Linked DNA regions of Drosophila melanogaster. The protein of the gene in region 1 interacts with the protein of each later gene in a pairwise test. Each region holds a gene or a part of one and is shown in the gene's direction. Other genes may lie near its edges.

Region 1 (4,398 bases):
AACACAAATTCGCTCTTATTTTTCTGAATGAAATATCCAAATGGAAATGATGACGAATGGGAAAGCAAACGCGGAATAAGCCTGGCTAAAATGAACGGATTTGTTATCTAATTTATTATGGAATTTAATTCGCGACACAAGATTTCAACCAAATCATTTCAGAATGACAAAATCAGAAATCTTTAAGCCTTCAAAATTTTATCCAATTTAGATAAAGCTGCATAATATTATTAACTATAAAAGAAATTAAATTTAAGTAGCGGCTGTTATTATTATTAGTTATAAATAATGATATACACATATAATAGTAACACTTTTATTGAACTGATATTCCCACGCAACGCAACCAAAAATTCTCTTTTGCCCAGAACGACTTTAAAATTGGTGTGGGTTTGGTTTTGGCCTCTTGACTGATTTCCATTTGGCCAAAACTCAGACGTGGCACAATATGTTATGAATTTTTATTCAGTTGTTTGTGTGCCAAGGAAAAAATTAATTTATGGCCTTCGTCGTTATTGTTCAAATAAAAGGCCCAAATCTAAATGGGTGATCGAAAAAACGGAGAGAGAGAGGGAATGTGAAGTCGGGGCGTTCGTCATCCTCATCCGGGCTCCATGTCGCCATATCATCGATGGACATCAATGTGGGGATATGTCAGAAAATCGGCGGGCGGGGAGACGTTGCCTGAATTTAAATGGACAAATTAATTGCGTTTGTCAGGCTTGTGGACAGGTTCTGGTTCCATTGGAACCTCGGCAGCAGCAACAAACCCAAGCGGCTGGACAAAGAATTAATTGGTTTTTGGACACTGGATGAAATATATTTAATTTAGGCTTAATGCCGGACAGAGATTGCATTTTAGTATGCACCCGCGCCGCCATCTCAAATTCCTCACAAGTGTCAAATTGGCCTTGAATCATGACTGGGATTGTATCTGTATCTCTATCTCTGTATCTTTATCTGTGCGCGATCGCCGGGCCATCAAATAGCCATTAAACAGTAGACCATTATCCTAGCTGATGGGGAATGATACCTGAGAGCCTCCACAAAGGAGGTGCGGTGTAGTCGATGATCGAGGATCGGGACATAAATTATCACTTGGTTTCTGGGTTCGATAAAGTTCTTTATAGGGGGTTATGTGTGGAATGGTGACGTGTAGAAGGGAATGCACTGAGGGAAAAGTCAAGCATTTTATTCAAATTGATTTCTTACCTTGTTCAAACACTCCGTTCTGTGCATCGTTATGCAAGCAGGATATTTACGGTGAATAGAATAGTATTCCCCTAAAGTTTGAAATCCCTCTTTTGTCCGATTTGAGTTGACAGTTTTATTGTGTCGCCTTTCTGAATTAATTGAGCCGCCCCTCAGTTCCAAATGAAGTCGTTGTCGCGTTTCCGAGGAATGTGGCGAGGATGGTATCCCCGACTCATCCCCTGCGGGAAGCTGGGCTCGGAGGACCACACATCGCGATGGAGACACACGCAGCTCCGAAAACGAACCCAAAAAGCATGGCCTGAACAAATTGCTTCTTCTCTATTTATACGGCCTGCGGGCGAGCCGTTGCCAATTAATTATAATTGATTGGCGATATTAACGAAAATTATGATGATTATGATTATTCGCTGGAAATGCACCCGCAGATACGTATGTAGATACGTTTTTCTGTCGAAAGATATAACGAGGCACAATGAAAGCTGAAAACTATCCGGATGATGTATGATAAACGACTTAATTGTTTTTTTTTTTTTTTTTGATTCAAGCTCCCCGCCATTGGCATCGAATACATTAAATGATAGATGTGAATGCTGAATGAACAAATTTGCCGGATTGCAGAGAATTTTTTAATTTGCTAGACTTAGACAAGAAATTAAATTTACGTTACATTATGTCGATTAAGTGCGGTCACATTGCTCGTTATCGATGATTCCTTCAGTTGTCACACTGAACTTTTTAATCAGAGTAGCTTTTATTGTGATTTCATTTTAGTTCACCAACAAGGCCTGGTGTTCGGTGATTTTAGCTGAAAAGTATGAGACGTTTTCGGCCCATGAATCGTTCTTGGAATGCTCTGCGTTCGCGTTCACGTTCACGTTCACGTTCGCGTTCGCCTTTCCGTTCGCAATCCATTACTCGATCCCGGCCCACCCGTTCGGATACCATTTACACAGAGAGGACGCGATTGCAGCGACGTTTCAGTCGGCCTCCCTCCTCCTGGGACATTCCACCAGAGGGTTATAACCACCTGACTCCGCAACAGTACAAGGCCATGCTGGCCAGCGGCCAGATTGCCTCGAGGATTCTTTCCGATGGCGTACACGGGGGCGAGTCCGCCGCGATTTCGATGATCACTCGACAAGCTCGCCGCCTGTATGTGGGTAATATTCCATTCGGAGTTACGGATGAGGAGATGATGCAGTTCTTCAATCATCAGATCATGGCTCTGGGATTTGAAGCAAAAAGCTCGCACTACATGGATGGCAATGCTGTGCTGACCTGCCAAACGAATCTGGAGAAGAACTTTGCCTTTCTGGAATTCCGATCCATTGACGAGGCCAGCCAGGCCTTGAATTTCGATGGGATGGTCTTCCGTGGACAAACCTTGAAGATAAGACGGCCACACGACTATCAGCCAGTGCCCTCGATTTCAGTCTCTGCAATGGAGAGCTACAGGTCATTCAGGGTCCCTGCCATCAATGTAGCCCAACAACCGGCTGTTACCCTTCCTGTGACCACTATTGTCCCCGATTCCCCCAATAAGATCTACGTAGGTGGCTTGCCCACCTGCCTGAATCAGGATCAGGTCAAGGAACTGCTGCAGTCGTTTGGAGAACTGAAAGGACTGAATCTGGTGATGGATACCAACACGAACCTGAACAAGGGTTTCGCCTTCTTTGAGTACTGCGATCCCTCGGTTACCGATCACGCCATAGCTGGATTGCACGGCATGCTGCTGGGGGATCGCAGGCTGGTGGTCCAGAGATCTATTCCAGGCGGAAAGAACGCATTCCCCGGCCACTTACCAACCGTTCTTCAGGTACCGGGCATATCCACACTACAAGATCCTGGCTCACCTACCGAAACTCTCTGCCTGCTGAACATGGTGCGGCCGGAGGAGCTGCTGGACGACGAGGAGTTCGAGGACATTCGCACGGACATCAAGCAGGAGTGCGCCAAGTTCGGCGAGGTTCGCAGCATCAAGATTCCGCGTCCCATCGGTCAATTTCCGAAGCGGGGCTGTGGCAAGGTCTTCGTCCAGTTCGAATCCGTGGAGGATTCGCAGAAGGCCCTTAAGGCGTTGAGTGGTCGCAAGTTCAGCGGGCGCATAGTGATGACCTCGTATTACGATCCCGAAAAGTACCTGGCGGATGATCTACAATAAAGTCGAAATAATAAACCATATTAACTGAAATTTCAATATGCTCAACCATCTAGGAACATCTACACTTAATAGTCAGTCCATCATGACACCTGATGATGACTCGGTGAGCTGATGTGGCCAAGGCCACGAGCGATAAGGAAGTTAATATCCAGTTCTCCACTCTCGTTGTTGTGATATCAACTGCTTAACGCTTTAAGTTATCTGGGATCGAAATGTGAGGACACGCCTCCTCGCCCCCCAAATACGATGGCAGAAATTCAATTAGGCAGACCGACTTAAGCTGCAATCCTTAAAGCTGCTCGAAAGCCGACAGCTCCTGCAGCAGCTTCTCCGCTCACCTTTTATTTCCAGTTCCTCTGGAAGAGTCAGGCCAAAGCTCTTGCTTAATTAAAATTTTAAACTTTACGCTTTATCGTCGACATTTCTCGGCATATTCACACCTACCGACCGCTTATTACGAAGCCCAGGTAATGCCTTAATGCCTTTTCAATGGAGAAGCTTCTTCGGCGGCTTATCTCGCCGACGAACGGTTGCATTTTCTCAGGTATCACGTTTCGTGGGTCTTGGGGCATCATCCGTTCAGCCTGGGGTTGGGGTCTTTTCTTATCTCAAAGTTTGGTCATTTGGTCGACAGCCGATCATCAATACTCGTACGCGTAATGAAATGGTCAGCACACGGAAAGAAAGAAGTTTTACAGGTGGCAAAGTTGTAGCCCAGTCACTGCATACATGTGAAATACAAGGAGTAGCACACAATTTCTCGCAGTGCAGTGCTACGAGCGTTGAAAGCCCATCTGCAAACGGAGCGATTTATCAGTGGCAACGACGAGCACAGCTAAACGCTTTATCGGACTGGAGGAGATTGTGCCAGGAAGGATGGGAAAGAACTTGAGAACTTGAGTGGACCGTGGCCACAAATTAATCCAACGCCTTCGACTTTTGTCATTCACCGGAGGAGACGATCTGAAGGCGAGCCTTTCATTCCCAAAGGGGCACCGAAAAACCAAGAGACTTCTTTC
Region 2 (5,564 bases), on another chromosome or scaffold:
TCCATCCACAATCTCCACATCCCCCATCCCATTCCCGTGGCCGAGCTCTTCGAGAAGAACAAGCACGCGGATAAGTCCACTTCCAGTTCCGAGGAAAGCAAGGAGAAAGCTAAGGCCTAGGCTTCCTATGTTAAGAGTCGCTAATGGGACCATCACGAGATTTGTAGTCAGCGAAACGAACTAAAATAAACACAAATATTTACATGCTTATATAAAAAGACTGGGCGTTAATTATTTAATAAATATTTATGTGGATGGCTGTCTGTAAAAAGGCAGTTAATATAATAGGCAAAGTAAAAAGTGGTATCTACTGCATTTCAGGCATTAATTATGGGTAAAACTTCCAAGAATTAATTCAATTGTAATATAATTTAATATTACTTCAAGGGAAATATATGAAGCTTTAAATGTACTTCATATTTGTTAATAATACTTCTACACACGTTGGTAATAATAAATTTAAGAACCTTGTACCGATTTTAAACGCCTTCAAGCGCACTAAATTTTATGCGTTAAAGTAGCTTCCTGGTAACAAATTTAATTTGTGTTCTAGACAAAGGCGTACACAGAGAATTGTTATTATAGTAAAGCTGTATTGCAGTTTTTTTTAGAATTTTTCCACGTTATAGGCAGCAATTTAAATGCGAGACTCCACGGATTTCCCCGTATAAATTCGAGCAATTTAACTTCGCGCTTCCCGTAAAAAAAAACATTGAATATTTACGTAAGCACCTCTTCGCTAATTATTCACTAAATATTTATGGCATCCACGTAGCTAACTGCTATTTTATTCACTACTCTAATGTAAGTAATCAGTAATATAAATATAAACAGCCAGACTTAATGTAACAATAAACAACGTATTGTTTGCCTCGGTTTTTTCCATTCTATCTGTAATTTTTCGCTATAATTATAATGACAATTATAACAAGTAGGTGCTTAAATGTAATTACGAAGCTGAATTTAGATGTCTTTGTCTTAATTTGATAGTTATTGCATATTCAAAATGCATTAGAAATGCCTAATTTAAAAACAAAATGCAAATGAAGTTGCTTTTAGAAAGTTAATAAAATTACCTTTATGTTTTTACATCTGCAAAGATCCTCTAACTTCTAGTAACATCTCTATTTTAAGCTTAGTAAAACTAGGTTTCATCTAATTATTCCATATATGTTTAGTCATTTAGCTACGTAGTTCTCCTCCTCCGACTTTCCGAAGTAATCGTCGGATTTGTAGATCTCCACAGGCTGATATTCCTCCTCGACGAGATTGGATCGTGGCAGGGAGCTGAGTGTGCTGGTATCGCTGGCACTTAACTTGGCCTTCAGCGGCTTCAGGAGAAGTCCCTTGAGGCTGTAGTCTGTGACATGCAGCTCCTCCTCGGCTATATCCACAGATCTTTCCACTTCCGACAAATTGGCACTAACTACACCCACACATTGCTCCAGACCATCGATTCTGGCCTTCAGTTGCTCGAAACTGTCTGTGAAACCTAGTATAGAGCAGACGTTGTTGGCCATCATGCCATTGGATTCCGCACGCACCTAAAAGTCAATAAACTATTAGTGAAAACACTAACTTTAAAGAAAACAACTAACCGAAGCCAACAAAGTCTCAAATTCATCCAATCTGGCCAGCATATCCTCGATATTCGTGCACAGTGGATTTATCTCCTTCTCCAGGTCGGCGCTCTGCAGTATCTTTGCATAGTCCCGTGATACATTCTCAATATTCGATTGCATATTTCAGGCGTTGGTTTAATTAGCTGAATATTTGTAAATACAAGCAACAATTGTTTTCACTTTCGACCAGTGTGACCATAATTGAGGAGGGTAAAACTCCTATCAGCTAAAGTGTGACCCCAAAGCATTTGCCCGCTGTCCCGCTGCTGCTCATTCTGGTCATACTGTTTTCTATTGATTTTGGAAATTGTTAGCTTGCAGCATTTGCTTGGATTTGTAGCACAATGAGTGGATATCGAGGCATTGGCGGTGGGGGCTTCCCCTACCGCAAGCCAGCAAGTTCCGGCAACAACATGAACGCCGTACCGCCGCCCCCGATGCTGAATGCCCGTGGCTATTCTGGTTCCCGCGGAGGATTTGGAGGAGCAAGCCGTGGCGGTGTCACCGGGAGCACTACATCAACGTCCAAGCACGGCTACTCCACCTTGGACTCCATCAGCCAGTACACCAATGCCACCAATCTGGTTGGCAAAAGGAAGCACCACACGGACGATGACTATTTCGATGATGACGATGAGCCCCGGGAAAAGGAGATAGAACAAGCCTATATACCGGCACCAGGATCCCCGGGAGCTCCGCCAACGTCGGCCAAAAAGCAAGAGGATTCCGATTCGGATGAGGATCCCCTCGAGCAGTTCATGGCGGGCATCAACCAGCAGGTGGAGAAGGAGAAGCGTCAACAAGCACCTAAGCCGCCAACTCAGGCGGTGAGAGGTGACATCGATGACGAGGACGATGAGGAGAGCTACTATCGCTACATGAAGGAGAATCCCAATGCTGGACTTCGCGACGAGGGATCCGATCAGGAAATCGAATACGATGAGGATGGCAATCCCATAGCCCCACCGAAGAAAAAGGACATTGATCCTCTGCCGCCCATCTACCATTCCGAAATCGAGTACGAACCCTTCGAGAAGAACTTCTACACGCAGCATGACGACATAGCCGCCCTGGATGATGAGCAAGTCCGGGAATTAAGGCGCACACTTGGCGTAAAGGTCACTGGTCCATCACCACCCAAACCAGTCACGTCCTTCGGCCATTTCGGCTTTGATGAGCAACTCATCAAGGCCGTGAGGAAAGCGGAGTATACACAGCCCACACCCATCCAGGCACAAGCAGTGCCCACCGCCCTGTCCGGCAGAGACATCATTGGCATAGCCAAAACTGGTTCCGGTAAGACAGCAGCTTTCATCTGGCCGATGCTAATGCATGTGATGGATCAGAAACAGCTGAAGCCAGGCGACGGACCCATAGGACTTATCCTAGCACCTACACGCGAGCTTTCCCTGCAGATCTACAACGAGGCCAAGAAGTTTGGCAAGGTCTACAACCTGAACGTGGTCTGCTGCTACGGCGGAGGCTCCAAATGGGAGCAAAGTAAAGCTCTGGAACAGGGAGCGGAAATTATTGTGGCCACGCCAGGACGTATGATAGATATGGTCAAGATGAAGGCCACCAATCTGAGGAGGGTCACTTTCCTAGTGCTTGACGAGGCCGACCGTATGTTCCACATGGGCTTTGAGCCCCAGGTTCGCTCCATCTGCAACCACGTGCGTCCAGATCGTCAATGCCTAATGTTTTCGGCCACCTTTAAGAAGCGAATTGAACGTCTGGCCAGAGATGTGCTTTCCGATCCCGTGAGAATAGTGCAGGGAGACCTGAACGAGGCCAATCAGGACATTACACAGTCTGTGTACGTCTTCCCCAATCCCCTGCAGAAATGGAATTGGCTGCTGTGCCATCTGGTGAAGTTCCTTTCCGAAGGAAGTGTCCTGATCTTTGTGACTAAAAAAGTAGATGCTGAAACGGTGTCTAACAATCTTTTAATTAAGGAGTACAATTGTCTTTTACTCCACGGCGATATGGACCAAGCGGACAGAAACAAGGTCATCACTCAGTTTAAGAGAAAAGAGTGCGATATTCTAGTGGCCACCGACGTGGCAGCCAGAGGATTGGATATACCCCATATTAGGAATGTGGTAAACTACGACACAGCCAGGGACATTGAAACCCACACGCACAGAATTGGAAGAACGGGCAGAGCCGGTGAAAAGGGTAATGCATACACTCTAGTCACCGATAAGGACAAGGAGTTCGCCGGACATCTGGTGCGTAACTTGGAGGGAGCCGATCAGCTGGTGCCCGACGATCTGATGGAGCTGGCCATGAAGAGTTCCTGGTTCCGCAGCTCACGCTTCAAGCAGGGCAAAGGCAAGAGACCAACAAATACCCACACAGGATTGGGCTATCGGGAGAAAGGAAATGGAGGTGGTGGCTATGGTTCGGCTGGTGGCTCGGAGTCCACTGCGAGTGTGTCTGCCCACAGTCCTTCCGACGGACCCTCTAGCAAAGCCTTTTCGAGCTCGGGACCAGCCACAGATCGCTATACAGCAATGAGGGAGGCATTCCGATCCCAGTATAACAATCAGTTCCGTGCGTCCAGCGATCGCACTTGGGAGAAAACTCTGCCGGAGTCGGGAGTTTTCGCTGCGCCAATGGCACCGCCCTCATCATCAACACAGGGTGCTTCCGCCTCATCGGCCAACAACAGCAGCAACCAGGATGCCAAAAGAGCCAAGAAGAGTCGCTGGAATTGAACGACGAGCCCAATAAACTGATGCTGCTATTTGGTTTATTTCTCTTCATATTATTTAATGTGTATTTGCTTTTGTTCCATCGTTTAAAATTACAACTTATGAACTAAATTTAAACATATTATATATAATCAGATATATACCATGTTCATTCATAAAGATTACGTTAGTTAAATACTCGTATGTACAACTCTCTTCCTTCGCAGCCAGTTCCAGCGAACGATCCCACAGATCCAAATAAAAATATTCATTAATTGTAATCATGGTTATGTGTATTTTATTTTGAATAAAATCACATTTGCGCATCCCAACTGCCTATCGATATTGTTAATCGTTAATCGTGTCATTTTAATTTTAATTTTTCCATTTCATTAAGCGAGAGAAGAAATCGAACTGGAATATCGAAATCTTGAAGCTAAATTGTTCGTTTAATCATTATGAAATATTGTTTTACAATGAAACCACTACGAATTTTGTTTCTTTTTCGCTTTTGGATATACGTGTTTATATTATAATTAAATTACGTGTGTTTTTGATAACATTGAGAAGAGATTTGAGATTCATTTAACTACCACATCGAGGCGATTTCGCGTAAATTTTCGACTTTTTCGATTTATTCGATTTTTTTTTCGATTTGTTTCGTTTTGTTAAGCGCTGAACGGGGAATAAGCCGGGGCAAAGCTTAAAAATTTCGCTATATTTGAATATCATATCAGATACGTACATGAATATATATATATATTCCGTTATATATAGTTCGCGTATATACTCTATTCAAAGACTCGTCGGTGTGTGGGTGTTATACATATATATATGTATATATATATATATTTGTATATAAAAATTGGTCCATGTTAACCACATCGTACGAAACAAATCGGAAAATCAGGAGAAAATCCAAAAAGAAAACGGGGGAAAATTGTGTGGGAAAATAAGACGCAAACGAAAATTATAACACTTTAATTTTAGTTTTGAAATACTTTTTGTTTTCTTCATTTATTATTATCATTATTTAAATGTATTAATTAGCTTTTGTGTGTTTTTTTTTGGGGGGAGGGGTTCTGTTTTTTGTTGTTGCCGCATATATAACATACATATCCAATATATACAATATATTTTAGATCTAGCATTAAATTTGATTTACACTTTTAATAGTTTGTTTCTCTCTTCCACTAATTATGCAGTTTCGCTTTGTCACTTAATTGTACACATTTACTTTCTGTTC

What was found.
Region 2: the proteins of LS2 (region 1) and CG6418 interact in a two-hybrid assay, tested with the Drosophila melanogaster proteins (one large-scale study listed by BioGRID).

The regions. Positions count from the first base shown.
Region 1 is NT_033778.4:23,209,130-23,213,527, reverse strand, and holds LS2 (large subunit 2), read left to right. Parts: upstream 1-1,988; 5' UTR 1,989-2,029; coding exon 2,030-3,379; 3' UTR 3,380-3,398; downstream 3,399-4,398.
Region 2 is NT_037436.4:10,875,348-10,880,911, reverse strand, and holds CG6418 (uncharacterized protein), read left to right. Parts: upstream 1-1,874; 5' UTR 1,875-1,966; coding exon 1,967-4,342; 3' UTR 4,343-4,597; downstream 4,598-5,564. Other genes in the region: CG6409 (uncharacterized protein), read left to right, coding at 1-120; Blos4 (biogenesis of lysosome-related organelles complex 1, subunit 4), read right to left, coding at 1,179-1,544, 1,599-1,742.